Pelodiscus sinensis: one gene and its partner. Each later gene encodes a partner of the first gene's protein in a complex. Links are inferred from orthologs where the notes say so. Each region holds a gene or a part of one and is shown in the gene's direction. Other genes may lie near its edges.

The links. The genes of interacting proteins can lie anywhere in the genome.
Region 2: the proteins of complement factor B-like (region 1) and complement factor D-like are in contact, whole or in part, in a crystal structure (PDB 2XWB), measured with the Homo sapiens proteins. The link is inferred for Pelodiscus sinensis from reciprocal best matches to the Homo sapiens genes CFB and CFD. Residues at the interface, in NP_001701.2 of Homo sapiens: Glu298, Ala301, Ser302, Ala332, Asp333, Ile469, Asp470, Glu471, Ser472, Glu518, Tyr519, Lys585, Asp758, Glu759, Asp760; in NP_001919.2 of Homo sapiens: Asn157, His158, Ala159, Gly160, Arg161, Arg162, Arg182, Thr183, Asp186, Arg200, Val228, Cys229, Gly230, Asn231, Arg232, Lys233.

Annotation. Positions count from the first base shown.
Region 1 is NW_027466016.1:47,559-57,626, reverse strand, and holds the start of complement factor B-like, read left to right. Parts: upstream 1-5,090; 5' UTR 5,091-5,196; coding exon 5,197-5,251; intron 5,252-8,209; coding exon 8,210-8,425; intron 8,426-10,068. Other genes in the region: complement C2-like, read left to right, coding at 152-243, 1,363-1,501, 1,585-1,634, 2,182-2,361.
Region 2 is NC_134729.1:16,202,844-16,213,317, forward strand, and holds the start of complement factor D-like, read left to right. Parts: upstream 1-5,509; 5' UTR 5,510-5,611; coding exon 5,612-5,669; intron 5,670-8,113; coding exon 8,114-8,270; intron 8,271-8,970; coding exon 8,971-9,115; intron 9,116-10,000; coding exon 10,001-10,258; intron 10,259-10,474.

The DNA of each region.
Region 1 (10,068 bases):
GGCCGGCACGTCCCACACGCCCGACCCCCCGCCTCCTGGCACGGCTCAGGGCCACGAGGGGGGGGCGTGTGCCCCCTCACCTCTGACAGCCGCCGCCCCTCGTGTCACCCGGCCCCCCGGAGCCCCCCGCTGACGGGTCTCTGCCCTGCAGAGCGGGAGCTGCTGGGCCGGGAACAGGTCCCTGCCCACTTCATCTCCCTGGGCGGGGACAGCCTCAGCGTCCGCATCAAGGCCAAGCAGCTGGTAGGTGGCGGCCGTGCCCCGGGGGGTGCACGTGGGCCGCATGCTTGTCTCCCTCGCACGCTCCTGGCTCAGAGTCTCCCTCGCACGCTCCCTGGCTCATGATCTCCCTCGCACGCTTCCTGGTCCAGGGTCTCCCTCGCACGCTCCCTGGCTCATGATCTCCCTCGCACGCTTCCTGGCCCAGGGTCTCCCTCGCACGCTTCCTGGCCCAGGGTCTCCCTCGCACGCTCCCTGGCTCATGATCTCCCTCGCACGCTTCCTGGTCCAGGGTCTCCCTCGCACGCTCCTGGCTCAGAGTCTCCCTCGCACGCTCCCTGGCTCATGATCTCCCTCGCACGCTTCCTGGTCCAGGGTCTCCCTCGCACGCTCCCTGGCTCATGATCTCCCTCGCACGCTTCCTGGCCCAGGGTCTCCCTCGCACGCTCCCTGGCTCATGATCTCCCTCGCACGCTTCCTGGCCCAGGGTCTCCCTCGCACGCTCCCTGGCTCATGATCTCCCTCGCACGCTTCCTGGCCCAGGGTCTCCCTCGCACGCTCCCCGGCCCAGGGTCTCCCTCGCACGCTGCCCGGCCCAGGGTCGCCCTCGCACGCTGCCCGGCCCAGGGTCGCCCTCGCACGCTCCCCGGCCCAGGGTCGCCCTCGCACGCTCCCCGGCCCAGGGTCTCCCTCGCACGCTGCCCAGCCCAGGGTCTCCCTCGCACGCTGCCCAGCCCAGGGTCTCCCTCGCACGCTCCCCGGCCCAGGGTCTCCCTCGCACACTGCCCGGCCCAGGGTCTCCCTCGCACGCTGCCCGGCCCAGGGTCTCCCTCGCACGCTGCCCGGCCCAGGGTCGCCCTCGCACGCTGCCCGGCCCAGGGTCTCCCTCGCACGCTCCCCGACACGCCTGCTGCCACTGTTGCCTGCGGGCGCTCGTGGGGGCCGAGCTCAGGGAAGCGGCCGGGGGCCCGGGGCGGCACCGTGCGCCTGGCGTTGGATTTCCCTCCCCGGCCCAGTCCCTGCTGGGACCCGCGACCGGCTTTTATCCCCCCGCCCGGGCTCTGACCCCCGCCGGGGAGCCCAGTGGCCGTGCAGGGGGACGCCCCGTTCCGGCCCCCGCCCACCCCCGGCTCTCGCCCCCAGCGCCCCTCGTGCATCGCCGGAGCCATCCAGCCGGGCATGATCTACGCCAACGTCTCCAGCGTCTCGCACGTGGTGACCGACCGGTTCCTCTGCTCGGGGCAGATCAGCGGCGGCTCGGAGGAGGCGTCCACCTGCAAAGGTGACCTGGCCCCCCTCCCCCCACCTGCCCCAGAGCTGGGCCGGCCTGGCCCCTGGGGGTCTGAGTTCTGCTTTGCCCCACAGGTGAATCGGGAGGGGCTCTGTTCCTGGAGAAGAAACTGAGAAACTTCCAGGTTGGTAGTCGGGACGCTCTGTGGTGGGGGGTTGCGGGGGGACGAGTTGCGGGAGGGGGAGCTGCAGGGGGCTGCCAGGGAGGAGTTGGGGGGACGAGTTGCAGGGGGCTGCAGGGGAGGAGTTGGGAGGCTGCGGGGAGCGAATTGCAGGGGGGCTTTAGGGGGCGAGATGGGGGGCTGTGGTGGACAAGTTCAGCCGAGTTGCAGGAGGGTGTGGGGGGCCAAGTTGGGGGCCTGCAGGGGGCGAGTTGGGGGGGGTCTTTAGGGGATGAGATGGGGGCTGCGGGGGCTGCGGCAGGAGAGTTGGGGGGACAAGTTGCGAGAGGGTGTTGGGGGCCGAATTGGGGGGCTGCGGGGGACGAGTTGTGGGGGGTCTTTAGGGGATGAGATGGGGGCTGCGGGGGGCGAGTTGTGGGGGTCTTTAGGGGATGAGATGGGGGCTGCGGGGGGCGAGTTGTGGGAGGTCTTTAGGGGGCGAGATGGGGGCTGCGGGGGCCGAGCTGCGGGGCCGTCCCGGCGTGGGGTCCCAGCTGTCTCTGCCCCCCAGGTGGGCGTGGTGAGCTGGGGCACCGCCAGCCCGTGCCAGCCGGGGCCGGGGGGCACGGTGCAGAGGAAGCCGCTGCCCAAGCACCACGTCCCCCGCGACTTCTACATCAGCCTCTTCGCGGTGCAGGATTGGCTGCGCCAGGTGCTGGGGGGCGCCGTGGCCTTCGTCCCGCTGCAGTGAGCCCCACGGCGCTCTGGGCCCACGGCAGTGAGAGCCCCGCCCCCGCCCCTCTGTGCGCCTGCCCCACAGCGCCCTCCTCTGGGCACCCCGATCCCTGCCCCACAGCCCCCCCTCCAGGCACCCTGATCCCTGCCCCACAACGCCCTCTCCTCTGGGCACCCCAATCCCTGCCCCACAGCACCCTCCTCTCCAGGCACCCCGATCCCTGCCCACAGCGCCCTCCTCTCTGGCACCCCTGATCCCTGCCCCACAGCCCCCCCTCCAGGCACCCTGATCCCTGCCCCACAACCCTCCCTTCCACGCTCCCCGATCCCTGCCCCACAGTGCCCCCTCCAGGCACCCCGATCCCTGCCCCACAACCCCCTCTCCTCTGGGCACCCCGATCCCTGCCCCACAGCGCCCTCCTCTCCGGGCACCCTGATCCCTGCCCCACAACCCCCTCTCCTCTGGGCACCCCTGATCCCTGCCCCACAGCCCCCCCGTCCATGCTTCCCGATCTCTGCCCCACAGCCCCCCCTCCAGGCACCCTGATCCCTGCCCCACAACCCCCTCTCCTCTGGGCACCCCTGATCCCTGCCCCACAGCCCCCCCGTCCATGCTCCCCGATCTCTGCCCCACAGCCCCCCCTCCAGGCACCCTGATCCCTGCCCCACAACCCCCTCTCCTCTGGGCACCCCTGATCCCTGCCCCACAGCGCCCTCCTCTCTGGCACCCCCGATCCTTGCCCCACAGCGTCCTCTCCTCTGGGCACCCGTGATCACTGCCCCACAGCCCCCTCTCCTCCGGGCACCCTGATCCCTGCCCCACAGCCTGGCTGCCTCGTCCCCTCTGTGCACCCCTGATCCCTGCCCCACAGCCCCCCCGTCCATGCTCCCCCATCTCTGCCCCACAGCCCCCCCTTCCATGCTCCCCGATCCCTGCCCCACAGCGCCCTCCTCTCTGGCACCCCTGATCCTTGCCCCACAGCGTCCTCTCCTCTGGGCACCCGTGATCACTGCCCCACAGCCCCCTCTCCTCCGGGCACCCTGATCCCTGCCCCACAGCCTGGCTGCCTCGTCCCCTCTGTGCACCCCTGATCCCTGCCCCACAGCCCTGGCAGCCCCATTCCCTCCATGCACCCCTCAATCTCTGCCCCCCATCTTCATTTCCTCTCCGTGCACCCCCTCCCCCATTCTCTACCCCACAGCTCTGCCCCCTAATAACAGAATGTTTGTAATTCAGGGTCTCTGTGTGGTTTGTAACCCTCTCCGCCTGCCCTGCCCAGCGCTGCGAACTTCCCCTGGGCAGTGCCCTCTTATCTCCTTCCCTTCTCCAGGCAGGCCGGCAGGGCGGTGGGTTCCCTGCCAGGCTGGGGGCAGGGTGCGGAGGGGGAGGGCAGTGGGGGGCCGTGACCCCTTTGCACAAACACCGGCCTTGGACTTTGCCCACCTGCTGCGTGGCTGGGCCTTGGGCCGGGAGCTGGGGCACCTGGGTCCCCTCCCCGGGGGGGGGGCAGTGGGGCTCAGTGGTGAGAGCTGGGCACCTGGGTCCCCTCCCCGGGGGGGGGGCAGTGGGGCTGAGTGGTGAGAGCGGGGAGCCTGGGTCCCCTCCCCGGGGGGGGCAGTGGGGCTGAGTGGTGAGAGCAGGGAGCCTGGGTCCCCTCCCCGGGGGGGGCAGTGGGGCTGAGTGGTGAGAGCAGGGAGCCTGGGTCCCCTCCCCGGGGCTGGGGGCAGTGGGGCTGAGTGGTGAGAGCGGGGAGCCTGGGTCCCCTCCCCGGGGCTGGGGGCAGTGGGGCTGAGTGGTGAGAGCGGGGAGCCTGGGTCCCCTCCCCGGGGCTGGGGGCAGTGGGGCTGAGTGGTGAGAGCGGGGAGCCTGGGTCCCCTCCCCGGGGGGGGCAGTGGGGCTGAGTGGTGAGAGCAGGGAGCCTGGGTCCCCTCCCCGGGGGGGGGCAGTGGGGCTGAGTGGTGAGAGCCGGGCGCCTGGGTCCCCTCCCCGGGGGGGGGGGCAGTGGGGCTGAGTGGTGAGAGCCGGGCGCCTGGGTCCCCTCCCCGGGGGGGGGGCAGTAGGGCTGAGTGGTGAGAGCAGGGAGCCTGGGTCCCCTCCCCGGGGGGGGGCAGTGGGGCTGAGTGGTGAGAGCGGGGAGCCTGGGTCTCCTCCCGGGGGGGGGCAGTGGGGCTAAGTGGTGAGAGCGGGGAGCCTGGGTCTCCTCCCGGGGGGGGGCAGTGGGGCTGAGTGGTGAGAGCAGGGAGCCTGGGTCTCCTCCCCGGGGGGGGGCAGTGGGGCTGAGTGGTGAGAGCAGGGAGCCTGGGTCTCCTCCCCGGGGGGGGGGCAGTGGGGCTGAGTGGTGAGAGCAGGGAGCCTGGGTCCCCTCCCCGGGGGGGGGGCAGTGGGGCTGAGTGGTGAGAGCAGGGAGCCTGGGTCCCCTCCCCGGGGGGGGCAGTGGGGCTGAGTGGTGAGAGCCGGGAGCCTGGGTCCCCTCCCCGGGGGGGGCAGTGGGGCTGAGTGGTGAGAGCCGGGCGCCCCACCCTGTCACGGGACAGAAGCTGCCAGCTGTTGGGCAAGGCCCCGGGCGCCCCCCCCTGCGGTTTGGCGGGGGGGGGGGCGCCAGGAGGAAGTTTGTTTAGGGCGGGGGGGGGGGAGGGGGGGTTTCTGCCCATTTCCCAAAAGTCACCTGCCCTGGTGGGCGGGGGAGGGGCCCTGCCCCCGCATCTGCCCCCCGCCCCCGCCCGGGAATGCCCCGCCCCCCCCCCGGCAGTTCCCGGACGCGGGGCCAGGCGGAGCAGGTTTCGCAAGGGAGGGAGCCAGGCCCCCCCCCCACCTGCCAGACCCGGCTCCGCGCAGCCCCGGACGGACGCGATGGGACCCGCAGCCCCGCTACTCGCCTGCCTGCTGCTGGCGCCGCTGCGCCTCGGTGGGTCCCGGCCCCCCAGCCCCCCCCGGCCCCCCCCAACTCGCCTCCCCCGCGCCCCGACCTCGCCCGGCTCCTCGGGCCCCCGCAGCCCCCCTCGGCATCGGGCAGACGGGGGGGGGGCCTCCTTGGGGGGGGGTCCTACAGAATTGGGGGCCCTGGAGTGTATATCGGGGGGCCCACCCCGATGGCCGGGCGGGGGGGTGTTTCGGGCCCCCCCCGCTGATGTCTGCGCTCCGGGGGGGGGTTTCGGGGCCCCCCCGCTGATGTCTGCGCTCCGGGGGGTGTTTCGGGCCCCCCCGCTGATGTCTGCGCTCCGGGGGGTGTTTCGGGGCCCCCCCCGCTGATGTCTGCGCTCCGGGGGGTGTTTCGGGCCCCCCCGCTGATGTCTGCGCTCCGGGGGGATTTCGGGGCCCCCCCCGCTGATGTCTGCGCTCCGGGGGGTGTTTCGGGGCCCCCCCCGCTGATGTCTGCGCTCCGGGGGGTGTTTCGGGCCCCCCCGCTGATGTCTGCGCTCGGGGGGTGTTTCGGGGCCCCCCGCTGATGTCTGCGCTCGGGGGGTGTTTCGGGCCCCCCCCCGCTGATGTCTGCGCTCCGGGGGGTGTTTCGGGCCCCCCCCCCGCTGATGTCTGCGCTCGGGGGGTGTTTCGGGCCCCCCCCCGCTGATGTCTGCGCTCGGGGGGTGTTTCGGGCCCCCCCGCTGATGTCTGCGCTCCGGGGGGTGTTTCGGGCCCCCCCCCGCTGATGTCTGCGCTCCGGGGGGTGTTTCAGGCCCCCCCCCGCTGATGTCTGCGCTCGGGGGGTGTTTCGGGGCCCCCCGCTGATGTCTGCGCTCGGGGGGTGTTTCGGGCCCCCCCCCGCTGATGTCTGCGCTCCGGGGGGGTGTTTCGGGCCCCCCCCGCTGATGTCTGCGCTCCGGGGGGTGTTTCGGGCCCCCCCCGCTGATGTCTGCGCTCCGGGGGGTGTTTCGGGCCCCCCCCGCTGATGTCTGCGCTCGGGGGGTGTTTCGGGCCCCCCCCGCTGATGTCTGCGCTCCGGGGGGTGTTTCGGGCCCCCCCCCGCTGATGTCTGCGCTCCGGGGGGTGTTTCAGGCCCCCCCCCGCTGATGTCTGCGCTCGGGGGGTGTTTCGGGGCCCCCCGCTGATGTCTGCGCTCGGGGGGTGTTTCGGGCCCCCCCCCCGCTGATGTCTGCGCTCGGGGGGTGTTTCGGGCCCCCCCCGCTGATGTCTGCGCTCGGGGGGTGTTTCGGGCCCCCCCCCGCTGATGTCTGCGCTCGGGGGGTGTTTCAGGCCCCCCCCCGCTGATGTCTGCGCTCGGGGGGTGTTTCGGGCCCCCCCCCGCTGATGTCTGCGCTCGGGGGGTGTTTCGGGGCCCCCCGCTGATGTCTGCGCTCGGGGGGGGGTGTTTCGGGCCCCCCCCGCTGATGTCTGCGCTCGGGGGGTGTTTCGGGGCCCCCCGCTGATGTCTGCGCTCGGGGGGTGTTTCGGGCCCCCCCCCGCTGATGTCTGCGCTCGGGGGGTGTTTCGGGGCCCCCCCGCTGATGTCTGCGCTCCGGGGGGTGTTTCGGGCCCCCCCCGCTGATGTCTGCGCTCCGGGGGGTGTTTCGGGGCCCCCCGCTGATGTCTGCGCTCCGGGGGGTGTTTCGGGCCCCCCCGCTGATGTCTGCGCTCCGGGGGGTGTTTCGAGGCCCCCCGCTGATGTCTGCGCTCCGGGGGGTGTTTCGGGCCCCCCCCCGCTGATGTCTGCGCTCCGGGGGGTGTTTCGGGGCCCCCCCCGCTGATGTCTGCGCTCGGGGGGTGTTTCGGGCCCCCCCGCTGATGTCTGCGCTCGGGGGGGGTTTCGGGGCCCCCCCCCGCTGATGTCTGCGCTCGGGGGGGGTTTCGGGCCCCCCCCGCTGATGTCTGCGCTCCGGGGGGTGTTTCGGGGCCCCCCCCGCTGATGTCTGCGCTCGGGGGGGGTTTCGGGCCCCCCCCGCTGATGTCTGCGCTCGGGGGGTGTTTCGGGCCCCCCCCGCTGATGTCTGCGCTCCGGGGGGTGTTTCGGGCCCCCCCCGCTGATGTCTGCGCTCGGGGGGTGTTTCGGGCCCCCCCCCGCTGATGTCTGCGCTCCGGGGGGGGGTTTCGGGCCCCCCCCCGCTGATGTCTGCGCTCGGGGGGTGTTTCGGGCCCCCCCCCCGCTGATGTCTGCGCTCGGGGGGTGTTTCGGGCCCCCCCCGCTGATGTCTGCGCTCCGGGGGGTGTTTCAGGCCCCCCCCCGCTGATGTCTGCGCTCGGGGGGTGTTTCGGGCCCCCCCGCTGATGTCTGCGCTCGGGGGGGTGTTTCGGGCCCCCCCCGCTGATGTCTGCGCTCCGGGGGGTGTTTCGGGGCCCCCCGCTGATGTCTGCGCTCGGGGGGGGGGTGTTTCGGGCCCCCCCCGCTGATGTCTGCGCTCCGGGGGGTGTTTCGGGGCCCCCCGCTGATGTCTGCGCTCGGGGGGGGGTGTTTCGGGCCCCCCCCGCTGATGTCTGCGCTCCGGGGGGTGTTTCGGGGCCCCCCGCTGATGTCTGCGCTCCGGGGGGGTTTCGGGGCCCCCCCCGCTGATGTCTGCGCTCCGGGGGGTGTTTCGGGCCCCCCCGCTGATGTCTGCGCTCCGGGGGGTGTTTCGGGCCCCCCCCCGCTGATGTCTGCGCTCGGGGGGTGTTTCGGGCCCCCCCGCTGATGTCTGCGCTCCGGGGGGTGTTTCGGGCCCCCCCCGCTGATGTCTGCGCTCCGGGGGGTGTTTCGGGCCCCCCCCGCTGATGTCTGCGCTCGGGGGGTGTTTCGGGCCCCCCCGCTGATGTCTGCGCTCCGGGGGGTGTTTCGGGGCCCCCCCGCTGATGTCTGCGCTCCGGGGGGGGGGTTCGGGCCCCCCCCCGCTGATGTCTGCGCTCCGGGGGCCTTTCGGGGGGTCGTGGCGCCGCCCGACTCTGTGACTCTCCCCAGGCGCGGCCCCCAGCAAGGGCCCGAACTGCGACCCCCAGGCGGCGGCGATCGTGGGGGGCTCGAGCAAGCTGCAGCGGCAGGGGGGGGCGCTGGTGTACCAGTGCCCCGCGGGGCAGTACCCGTACCCCACGCCCGTGCGCCTGTGCCGCGCCGACAGCCGCTGGAGCCCGCTGAGCTCTCGGGACGGGCGCCCGCTGGCCAAGGCCGAGTGCAGAGGTGGGTCGGGGCGCGGGGGGCCGGGCTGGAGGTCGGGTGTTGTCTGGGGGGCTCTAGTGGGGGTGAAAACTGGGAGGCGGGGGGGTCCGGGAACCGTGGGGCGAGCCCTGGGGACACCCGGGGGGGGGGCTCTGGGAACCGCGGGGCAGGCATGGGGGGCCGTGGGGGGCTCTGGAGAGTGTGGGGGGGCCGTGGGGGGGGGGGCTCTGGGAACTGTGGGGCGGGTGTCGAGGGCTCTGGGACTCATGGGGTGGGGTTCTGGGAACTGTGGGGCAGTCATAGGGTGGAACATGGGGGGCTCAGAGGACTGTGGGGCAGGCATGGGGGGCCGTGGGGGGCTCTGGAGAGTGTGGGGGACCGTGCGGGGGCTCTGAGGACCATGGGGTGGGCATGGGGGGCCCGGGGAACTGCAGGTTGGGCATAGGGGGGCTCTAGGAAGTGCGGGGTCAGCATGGGAGGACCGTGGGGGGGCTCCGGGAAGCGCGGGGGGAGCCGTGGGGGGGTCTGCGAAGCGCTGGGTAGGCACGGGGGGGGACGTGGGGGGCTCCAAGAAGCACGGGATGGGCACGGGGGGGGAGCTATGGGGGGCTCTGGGAAGCGCGGGATGGGCACGGGGGGGGACTCATGGGGGGCTCCAGGAAGTGCGGGGTGGGCACCGGGGGGAGCCATGGGGGGCTCCGGGAAGCGCGGGGTCAGCATGGGGGGGCTGTGGGGGGCTCCAGGAAGCGCGGGGTCAACACGGGGGGGGCTGTGGGGGGCTCCAGGAAGCGCGGGGTGGGCACCGGGAGGAACCGTGGGGGGGCTCCAGGAAGCGTGGGGTGGGCACGGGGGGGGAACCGTGGGGGGCTCCAGGAAGCGCGGGGTGGGGCACCGGGGGGGGGTCGTGGGGGGGGCTCCAGGAAGCGCGGGGTGGGCACCGGGGGGGGAGCCGTGGGGGGCTCCGGGAAGCGCGGGGTGGGCACCGGGGGGGGAGCCGTGGGGGGGCTCCAGGAAGCGGGGGTGGGCACCGGGGGGAGCCGTGGGGGGCTCCAGGAAGCGGGGGTGGGCACCGGGGGGGGAGCCGTGGGGGGGCTCCAGGAAGCGGGGGTGGGCACCGGGGGGGGAGCCGTGGGGGGCTCCGGGAAGCGGGGGGTGGGCACCGGGGGGAGCCGTGGGGGGCTCCGGGAAGCGGGGATGGGCACCGGGGGGGGAGCTGTGGGGGGCTCCAGGAAGCGGGGGTGGGCACCGGGGGGGGAGCCGTGGGGGGCTCCAGGAAGCGGGGGTCAACACGGGGGGGCTGTGGGGGGCTCCAGGAAGCGGGGGTGGGCACCGGGGGGGAGCCGTGGGGGGCTCCGGGAAGCGGGGGGTGGGCACCGGGGGGAGCCGTGGGGGGCTCCGGGAAGCGGGGATGGGCACCGGGGGGGGAGCTGTGGGGGGCTCCAGGAAGCGGGGGTGGGCACCGGGGGGGGAGCCGTGGGGGGCTCCAGGAAGCGGGGGTCAACACGGGGGGGCTGTGGGGGGCTCCAGGAAGCGGGGGTGGGCACCGGGGGGAGCCGTGGGGGGCTCCAGGAAGCGGGGGTGGGCACCGGGGGGAGCCGTGGGGGGCTCCAGGAAGCGGGGGTGGGCACCGGGGGGGAGCCGTGGGGGGGCTCCGGGAAGCGCGG
Region 2 (10,474 bases), on another chromosome or scaffold:
GAGGTTGTGGAATCTCTATCTCTGGAGATATTTAAGCGCAGGTTGGACAGACGCCTCTTGGGGAAGATCTAGACGGTGCTGGGTCCTGCCGTGAGGGCAGGGGAGGGGGCTTGATGACTCCCGAGGTCCCTTCCAGTTCTAGGGTTCTGTGCTGGCCCCCTAAGATCCCCACAAAGGTACCCGCCCCTGCACTCCGTGGGCAGTTTCTTTGCCTCCCCTGCCCATAATCCTGCAACTTCCTGCACATGGTTGCATCATGCCCAAAGCCCGCACATCCGTATACCCTGCACAGCCACGCCCACATGGCTCGCACGCAGCCGGAGTGCGTCTGGGCACACACAGGCAAGATAATCCCGGGTGTAACTCCATGGGGCCACTAGAGCTCTTCCCAGGATGCTGGTATCTCGCATCACCCTTTCCTTGTCCTGTACGCCCCCCCTCCCCCGCCCTTCTCGCACATGCTCAGCCCTGTGAGTGGAAGGGGAGTACACGCGCCGGATGGGGCAAAGCCAGCGAGAAGCCAGAGCAGCAGGTCCATGGGGCCGGAAGCTAGAGGCTCGTCTCTGGTTTCGTTCAGCATCAGCTGAGGACTGACCCCCGGTGCAATGGTGAGAGGAAGAATGATCCCAAACCCTGCGCCGGGCACCCCTGCGCCAACAGGAGATGATTTGCTTGCCTGTGGCGCTCAGGAGCAGAACCTAGAGGGGGAAGGACATGGAGCCGGTATCGGGGCCAAGGCAGGGTGGGTGGAGGGGCAGGGAGAACTAGAGACGCATCCTAAGGCTCCAGACACCCCTAGGCAAAGACTGAGGGCTTGCCTACAGGTACAGCACCTGCTACCTAGAATCCTAGAACCCTGGGGTGGGCTGAGCCCTCAGAAGCCATCACGTCCGGCCCCTGCCCAAAGCAGGACCAGCCCCACCTCGATCACCCCAGCCGGGGCTGTGTCAAGCTGGGACTGACACACTTCAAGGGACGGAGACTCCCCAGGGAACCCGCCCAGGGCAATGGTTTTTCCTGATCCCCAACCGAGACCTCCCCCACTGCAACTTCAAGTGAGCTACCTTCTCGCCCGCTCTGAGTATGGTGCGATTTGGAAACGCCGGTTGTTCCGGTAGCTGGCCAAGAGCGGGATGTGCCGCGCTCGGTGACCGGCTACGGGCTGGTGGGGGCAGGTTACCGTGGCGTGGAGGCTGAGCTGGCTCTGTTTGGCTTCCGTGGGCTTTCAAACTAGAACTGGGTTTGTTACACGGCCTGGGGGCTGGGGGAGAGGAGGCCCGACTCCTCCAGCACTGGTGAGTCCCAGTTGCGGCTCAGAGCCATTGTGCAAGGGGCTGTACAGACACACAACTATGCCAATGAGAGCTAGTCTTGTAGGGAAGGGCGTAGCCCCCGTGGCTCGCGGGACACAGGTTGCCCACCCCTTGCGTTAGGTCTCCCGTTTGTGGAATTAAGCTGCCAAGTAAATTCCTGTTTGCAGCCCCCAGGCAAGTCACTGCTCTGCCCCATGCCTCAGTTTCCCCACCTGGAACACGGGGCTAATGATATTAGCCTCCTTGTAAAGTGCATTGAGATCTACAGCTGAGAGGAGCCGGGATTAATTATCGTTAAGAGCTTTCCCTTGATCCAGCCTTGGCCTCACAGCCTCCACCCACAGCGTAAGCCTCCCTCCTTCCCCCCCCCCCTCTCCGCCAGGCAAGGCAGCCATCACCTCCACCCCTGGGAGGAACAAACCGACACTCCCCCCTCAGCTTTGTTGATGGGGGGGCGGGTTTGTCCTTTACATAAACTGCTCTGACTCAGAGCCGAGGGGAATTCCCAGGACCAGGCAGCGGGGTGGGGATGGGGATGGGGATGTGGAGGGGCATTTGTGGGGGGAGCCCCAGGCTAGGACAGTGAACAGTCAGGCCCAGCTCCTCCACGCTAATCCGAGCCCAGCCCCGGTCTCTTGTCAGCCCAGCAGGGTGGGTGAAGGAGGCGCTAAGCCAGCTTTGAGCTCCCTGGTTCTGGGGCCTGCCTGGCTACTGCCAGCATGGGTGGGGGGAGCCATTTGTGGGTCGGGGGCTGCACACGTATGAGAAGCAAAAAACAAACCCAACCCCTCACGGATGTGGCTGAGAAGGAGAAAAACCCTCCCCGTGTTCCCCCCCCACACCAGAGCAGGGGGGGGCTAGTCGAGTTTGGCCCCTCAATGGGGGGACTGGAGCATCAGCACAGGCTCCCCAATGCTGAGGGGGGCTCCATGAGCCTCGGGGGCCAGATCCAGCATGCCAGGGGCTGCCATTGGGCCCCTGGGCCTGAGGTTCCCCACCCCATCAGGGGGAGCCCAGAGCTTACATTCCTGGCCTATTCTGGCAGCGTGGGGATTGGCCCCCTTTCTCCTGGGAACTCCCCCTATGCTGGGGGGGAGCGACAAAGAGAATCATGGAGGTGCAGGGGGCTAGGCCCCCAGAAGGTCTGTGCTGGGGAGGGGCAATCCCCAGGAAGCCAGATCCCATGGCTCCACAGATACTGTGCCCCACCAGGCTCTGGCCCCGAACCTTTCTACTCTTTTATAGGGACGTCAGTGCACAGAGCAGGCGGGAGCCAGGACTCCCACCGCAATCCACTTGAGTGGATTTTCTCCCGAGCTGCACACCCACCAATGAGCAAAGGCCAGGCCGCCCCCGCCCCAGCCTCCTCCGAACCCCTCTCCCACAGATCCACACCAGAGCAGGGCAGAGGCTTTTGCCAGTGTCCCGGAGCTCTGTACACCCCCTCCCTTTCCCACGGGACCAGTAGGCACACACGGCGGGGGGGGGGGGGGGGGAGCAGCAAATGTGGCCACACGCAGGGACCTGTTGGAGAACACTTTAATCCGCCTGGACACTCGTTAACGGATCCCCAAGTCACCCTGTTCTTGCAAGCCAATTCCACAAGCCAAATCCACAGGGGAGGGTTGGAACTTAACTTTGTTTACAAATTTGACTCTTATCAGATTGGAATGATCAGGGACAAGGCCAGCACAGACCTTCCACACCCTAATGACTTCACCAAACCACCCACCATGCAATGGAGGTGCTAATTGTCCTCATCGCCTCTTGTAGCTTAACTGTCTTTTTTCTTCCTCCTCTCCCCCCTTCCCTTATTTATTCCTGGATCTGGACTTTCAATATTCCAGTCATCCGAAGAAGTGGGCTGTGCCCACGAAAGCTCATGCTCCCAGCTCCATGTTTTGTTCGTCTATAACGTGCTACCAGACCATTGGTTGTTTGTTACATTTTTCCAGTTACAGACTAACTCGGCTCCCTGACAAACCCGTGTCAAAAACTTGCATGGAATTTCCCTCCCGAAATCTACAAAGGGTGATGGTCTGGTGTGAGCAGCAGGCTCAGGTTTGTCTCCCATGAAGACCAGCCTCAGTCCTTGACCTAAATTCACAATTCAGGAGCCGCGGAACTAAACTCGCTATTAAATCTCGGATTTCTTATTTACTCAGATGTCTAAGCCTCTGGCTAGAGGGGGGGTTGGCTAATTAGCGCTGAGGGCAGGGCCACACCTGATACTCTATTTGTTGTTCTAACTTCTAACCTAGCCACCGAGGTGTCGGGCAGCATAGAAAACTTTGCCAAACTTTTCATAGGAAGCAGCACAGTGGGAAGATAGGGTTCTGGCCTGCTCCTAAGTTCTCTTCCTGTCCCCTGCTGTGAGGCTGGGCGAGGTACTTCATTCCCCACTCCCTGCCTCAGTTTACCCCTCTGTAAAAAAGGCAATAAGAATAACACTCACCCTCTTCTGCAAAGCACTTTGAAATCCTCACGAGAGGCGCCGTGGATGTGTGATATCGGCAGCACCTTCCATCCCCGTGCCAAGCAGGTTGCACCAGTTTGCTTTAGCTGTGGCCATGCGGAGGCAGAAGCCAGCCCAGCTTCAGTATCTGTCTCACAAGTACTTCACAAACCATTGCTTGTGTGAATTGGGTTTGACTCCCTTTTCTTGTCACTGAAATAGGTGCAGGCCGGTGGTTTCTCTCCCTCCAGGCTCATCTGGGCCAAATCTGAAATCCGGGGCTGTTTGGCCCTTTAAGCGACAGGACTTTACGGGGCAGCCCCAGCGATTTCAGAACTCTGAGGCTCCAGCCACCCTCCCGTCAGAATAGAGGAGCCAGATTTCTCCCCGACTGCTGAGTGACTGTGCCTGTCTGAAGCATTGTTCAAACCCACTTTTGGGGACCCAGGCTTGGCATGGAAACTGAGGCACCAGCCCCACCTTGTGGTACAGGTGAGAACCGCAGGAGAATAAGACCCAACCAGGTTCAACCCCCTCCAGCCCCATTTCTTTGCCAGGTTTCAGAGGTGGCCATGTGAGTCTGTTGCAGCAAAAACACGGAGTCCAGTGGCACTTGGAAGACTAGCCAGCTTCTTAGGGCTTTGGGGCCTGAGCGTTCGTAGCTAGAAATCTCTGCCGCAGAAAAATAGAAACCAAATGGCTATGGCGCGGGGAGCTCCTCATCAGTGCCAGGGAAGTCACAGGGGATGCGGCTCATCTCCAGTGAGACGGGGAGTCACTTAACCAATTTTTTAGCTGGCTGGCCAGCAGCCCGGCTCAGTCCTGGCTCATGCCGGGTCTGGGACAGAGCCCTGCTGCGGCTCTGTGTTTAAAGGGTATTAAGGAGCAAGGCGGGTAGGCAGCCCGGCTCTGTTGCAGCTCTCGCCGGGTCTAGGAGATCAGCCCCCCTGGACAGGGGCTGCCATCACCCCGCACTGCTGCCGGCCCCGCCTGGGGGCTATAGACTAGTTGAGTAACTGATAAGAATTCATGAGGTCAATCGACTAATCAATTAACTGATATTTAACTCCCTAGAACAGGGGCCTCCCTGCCTTGCCCGTCTCTCACGCTCTCCCACTGCTACTTTCTCCCTTTCACCCTGCCCCAGCCTTGCTTTCTGGCCAGCTCCTTTCCAGGTGATTGTCAGAGTCCCTTGGCCACTGCTCTTATCCTACTAGCCACAGGCACCTTCGGCTCCCACGTCCGCGGTTCCCAGAGCTGGGCAATCAGCCAGCCCGGAATTCAGCAGGGGCAAAAAACCTGCCACTCTGGAGACCCAGGTCCTGGCTCCCTCCAGCACAGGTGCCCCATCGCCTGTTATCCTATCCTGGCGGAAGCTTTGCGGAGCAGGAAGTTCACACAAAGGTCCCCGCAGTTCGGCAGAGACAGAGGCGGGCAGGGAAGGGGATTTCTGGATTGTTTGCTCTTCAGAGCCGATCGGATGGGCTGGGGAATGAACTCTGCCTGCCCCGGCAGTTGGAAGGACAAACACAAGCTGCAGAAATCCCCTTCCAGGCAGGCCAGGTTCAGCAGTAGGGTTGGGCTGCTTTGTCCCAGGGCTGCCTGTGTTGAGAAATCATGAAATTTCCCTCAGGCCCTGGCACTGCAACAACCAAGCCCCCAGCAGCTGTTGCAAATTTACTCCCAGCTTTCTCTTTCCTGGAAATCAACGTTCCCCCTTCTCCCCCCACCCCCGGAGCGCAGTACAAAAGGCAGATCTCTGCTCTCCCCAAGCAGGGACACCTCTACAGGACAAGACACAGCTCCTGTGGTAGACTCATCTGTGGGCGTCTCAGCAGCTGGCATGGGTCACCTGTCACCTGTCCTCGCCCTGGTGGCTTTGCTGGGCATCTCGGCCTGTGGTGAGTGCGCCTCTTCTCTCACACCCTCCCTCTCTTCTGTTCTCTTCCTTGACTCCTCCGAGCCTAGCAGAGATGCGGGTGGGTCCTTGCGAGGTGGATGCCGCAGGGCAGCCTGGCTGCGAACTGACACAATAAGCAAAGCTGCTGGGTGTCCAGATGTTTCCTTGCCACATTGAAGGGTGACAATTGAACTTTATCGCATCAGCTGACGGCCCTGGGGGATCTAGTACATTTCACTGCTCTCTAGCCTAGCCCCTGCCGGCTGGGGATCTCTGAGCACTCTCCCAGCACGCCCACATGACAGGGAAACTGAGGCCTGGGGCTGCAGAAAGCTTGGATCTAGCTCACACTGTGAATCAATGTCACAGACGCCTGATGCCCCAAACTTACCGGCAACGCAGCTTCTTCAGTCTCTGGCTCCCAAAGCCATGGGCTAAGGCGGCGTCTCAGGACACATCTCCCAGTGGCAGGGCTCCTTTTCCAGGCCGGAAGGGATCTCTGGACTTAGCACAGACCAGAGACCCTCCGCCAGGTGGGGAGGGGAGGCAGCTTGAGACAATGCGGGTGAACGGAGGGAGAAATGTTTTGCTGCGGCAAAGCCGCCAGAGGGCTGGTGTGTGGACAGGCGGGTTAAATGTGCTGTCCATTTGCAGAGCGATGGGGGCTGGCACCGATAACAGAAACATCCGGGTCTGGAACCCACTAGCTTTCCCCACTGTGGGTGTGTTTTCTGAAATGCAACTTGACTCCCTAGAAGCCAAAGAGCATCCTGGGGCATGTGTGGGCGGATGCTGGTCCTAACCCCTCGCGCGTTTTATCGGTGGATCTCAAAATGCTTTCCAACGGAAAGAGGCAGGATCACCATTTTACAAATGGGGAAACTGAGGCATGGAGCGGGGACGTGACTTGCCCAAGGTCACCCAGCAGATTGGTGGCAGAATTCAGGTCTCCTGAGTCCCAGCAGGCACTACAGCCTCTCCTTTGATGCAGACACCCTGGTCACTGTTGCTGGGTGAGATCTACCCCAATGAGGCTAAGATGGGTTGGAGGGAGCTGGGGGCATTACCCAGCTTTTCCTAGGGGTCACGTATCCGAATCAGCTGTAGATCTGTCCCAGGGCGGATTCCTGACTATGGGCTAAGGCCTCCTGCTGTTCTCCCGGGCACGTCGGCGATCCATTGCCGCAGAACCTTCGGAGAAGTCTTCACCCCGCACACCTGGAAACGTCTCGCATTTCGTACCCGGGGCTTCCTTTCTCGTTTCTTCTTCACGTTCCTGAAGGGGGCACAGGGGTTTGTCCCCTCCGATGCTCCAGGAAACAAACACACGCTAGTCCAACCAGAGCTCCACGTCGGCTACCGGACAGCTGCTCCGGGGGGCCAAGAGAAATGATTTGTGACTGCCCCTCATTATTTGCATAAGCGGGGTGAATGGCTCCACTCCTTGGTTTGAAAATGCCAGGTGGAGGGGGGCAGAGACAGATGCTGCCCCACGGTTCCCCCTTGCACCCCTCCCTTGCAATCATGCCCTTGTAAGGGGGGGTGGAGGGGTTGCTGTCTTGGCTGATTCTGGGGGCGGCAGGACCATAACAGCAGTGCTGATGGAGGGCTGCGATGCCCCATAGCCCGGCCCTCCAGGGCCCCAGTGCCAGCTGCATGTGTTGGCTCCTGTAGGAAGCTCCTCGCTGGACAGCTAAAGTTCTGCTCCGCGGCTGCTGGCCTGGGGACGTGCGGCCGCACAAGGCCTGCTGCCCTGCCCCCTGGGTGGGGGTGACGGGGGGGGGGGGGCAAGGCATGGGAAGGGGGCAGAAGGCTGGAGGAAGCCTGGGCTGGATTCTCAATGGCCCAAGAATTGCTCCTCTGGAGGAAGCGAGGGACAGAGGCGTGACCCTCCCACACTGAGTGCTCCGATGGCAGCCAGGCCGGGCCTAGCGGCTGGGAACGCCAGAGCCGCGCTGCCAATATCAAACCGGCTCTGGACTCCGCTTCCCTTCTGCTCAGAGCTACAGAAGGAGGGAAAGGTCGGCGCAGTGCTTGGGGGGCGAGCGAGGACTTGGGCGTCCCTGTCTCGCCACCGCCTTCCCTTGTGACCTTGGTCAAGTCCCTGCATCTCACCCCGCATCAGTGGGTCAGCCAGTCTGGGGGAGACGGTCGCTGGGACATGGGAGACCAGGGTGGGGTCCTGAATCCGGCCGAGGTGGGTCTCTCCCAGCCCGGCGGAGTGCCCTGGGCAGCTGGCCGCTCTGCGGTGAGCCAGGCTGGGGCAGTTTCTCCTCCCCGGCAGCGGAGGCACGTAGAGACGCAGGCACACGGGGCCAAGGGCCCCTCGCTGAGCCGCCCCGCTCTGGATGTGTCCCCAGACTCTGTGGGCACCAAGGGGGCCCTCCCACGGCCAGGACGGCAGGGCAGGCTCAGAGGCTCATGTCCCTTTTCTCCTCTCCCCAGCGGGTCGCCCCCGGGGCCGCATTCTCCGGGGCTACGAGGCTGCCCCGCACCGGAAGCCCTACATGGCGTCGCTGCAGGTGGACGGGAAGCACGTGTGCGGCGGGTTCCTCATCGCCGACCAGTGGGTGCTGAGCGCGGCTCACTGCCTGGAGGACAAGTGAGTCCTGGCCGGGGCCCCGTGGGGCAGAGCAGGGGCTGGGGCCCAGCTAGGTCCGACACAGCCCTGGAGCATTTCCGGGCTCTGGACTGAGCGTGGCCACGGCTGCTTCCTGCCCTGGGGCAGGTTGAGTGTCCCCATGAGGCGGGGGCGGGGGGTGGGAGGAGGCTGCTGGGAAGCCAGCTTGGGCCTGGGGTCCGAGAGGGTGGGAGGACACAGGCCAGTCGGAAAAGCCTCGGGCCGCGCTGCCATTTCCCCAGGCAGGGGCAGGAGGAAGGGGAGGGGGTTGCTCCCCCCCCCCACCGGGCAGAGCCCGTGGGTGGGATCTGGCTCTGGCTCGCCAGACTCCAGTCTGAGGCTCGGGTCCCCTGCCTCACTGCAGCAGGGAGCCAAAGCTGGCGCTCCAGCTCCACAGGGGGTACTAAGGGCTCCCAAAGCTGGGAGCCTCGGGGGCCAGATCCAGGCAAGCCAGGCGCTGAATCTGGCTCCTGGGCCAAAGGCCCCCCCCCCTCCGCCCCCGGCTCTAAAGGAAAAGCTGAGGGTGGATTGCCCGTCACCCCAGGGGCAGGGCAGCCCAGGTGGGGACCGGGGCAAGGCAGAGGCTGGGGGCCCGCGGGGGATCGCGGCACCTCGGGGGCATGAGCGGACAGGCGGGGGGCGAGCAGAGCGCCTCATTCGGCCGTCTCCGTCCCCGCCGCAGGCCCAACAAGCCGTTCCAGGTCCTCTTGGGGGCCCACTCCCTCTCGGAGCCGGAGCCGCACAAGCGCCTCTACGGGGTGCGGGCCGAGATCAGCCACCCCGGCAGCAGCAAGGAGACCAACGACGACGACCTCCTGCTCCTCCAGGTGAGCACGAGCCACACCGGCCCCAGCCCCCCTGCAGGCGCGGTGGCCCCGGCCAGGGCATAGCTCCATCCGGAGCCCAAGGGGGAAACTCCTGCGGGCCTGGGGCTAGGTCCAGCTCCCAACGGCACCGAGCTCCTGTTGACTTCCAGGGCTGAGCCCCAGGGACCCCGCTGCCCCCTGCTCTGCCCACAGGCATCGCGGGCTGGGGACACCCCTGTGCACCACTGCAAGGGAGGGGGTGACGCCCCAGCTGCAATAGGGCCCCTTGTATTCACCAGCGGTGGGAACGCCAGGCACTGAGCAGGCCTCAGGGCTGGTCTCCTGGGACGCCGACAGGCGGAACCGAACCCGGGAGCTTTGTGCACGAGCCTCTCGCGCAGGAGCCGAACGCCTGGGGCGGGGGGCTGAGGCTGCAGAGCACACTCGCAATTCTCTCCCTCCATGGGCTCCGGGCCACGGGCTGGGACGGCGCCACGCCCAGCCCAGCCCCCACCTATCACCTGTTTGAGGGGCTGGGGGCAGAGGACGGGCAGGAGGAGGTGGAGCGAGGGCGGGGCTTTGGGGGAGGGGCAGCATGTGGGTGGGGCCTCGGGCAGAGCAGGGGCGGAGCACCCCCTGGAAAGATGCCGGTTGGTGCTGCCTGTGTCCAATCAGCGCGGTGTTTCGAGAGTCGCCTTCCACGGCGCAGCTCTGTCCCCCTCTAGTGGCCACATTCAGTCCTGCACTGAACCCACTCCTGGTCCTTTGAGCCCAAGCTGTAATGTAGACAGACTCCCGAGGTCTCCGGTTCTATCCTGCCGAGAGCCCAGCCAGGGGTCACGTGCCATGTACCGACTGTGCCCCTCTCACCCCCACTGACCCTGGCTCCTTTGCCCCCCAAATCAGCTGGAGGAGACAGCACAGCTCAATGAGCACGTGAAGGTCCTGGCCTTTCAGAGGCAGGACACGGATGTTCCCACCGGCACCGAGTGCGAGGTGGCTGGCTGGGGCGAAATGAACCACAACGGGAAGCTGCCTGACAAACTGCAGCAGGTGGAGCGGCCGGTGATCAGCCGGGAGACCTGCAACGGCAGGATCTACCACGACAACACCATCACGGAGAAGATGATGTGCACCGACTCCCGGAGGAAGGACACCTGCCCGGTACCGACCTGGGGGGGTTCCCTTGCCAGGGGGGTTGGAGCTCTGGGCAGGTGCTCGGGGGTGTGGGTGGGTCTGGGACTATCCTGACAGCCTGCCCGCCCCCTGGAAATACAGACCCACGGGTCGCCAGACTGGGCGAGGCTGATGAATCACCTGCCACCCAGCTAGAGGGAGCCCTGCCTGGGGGGGCTCAGGGCAGGAGGATGGGGGGGGTTC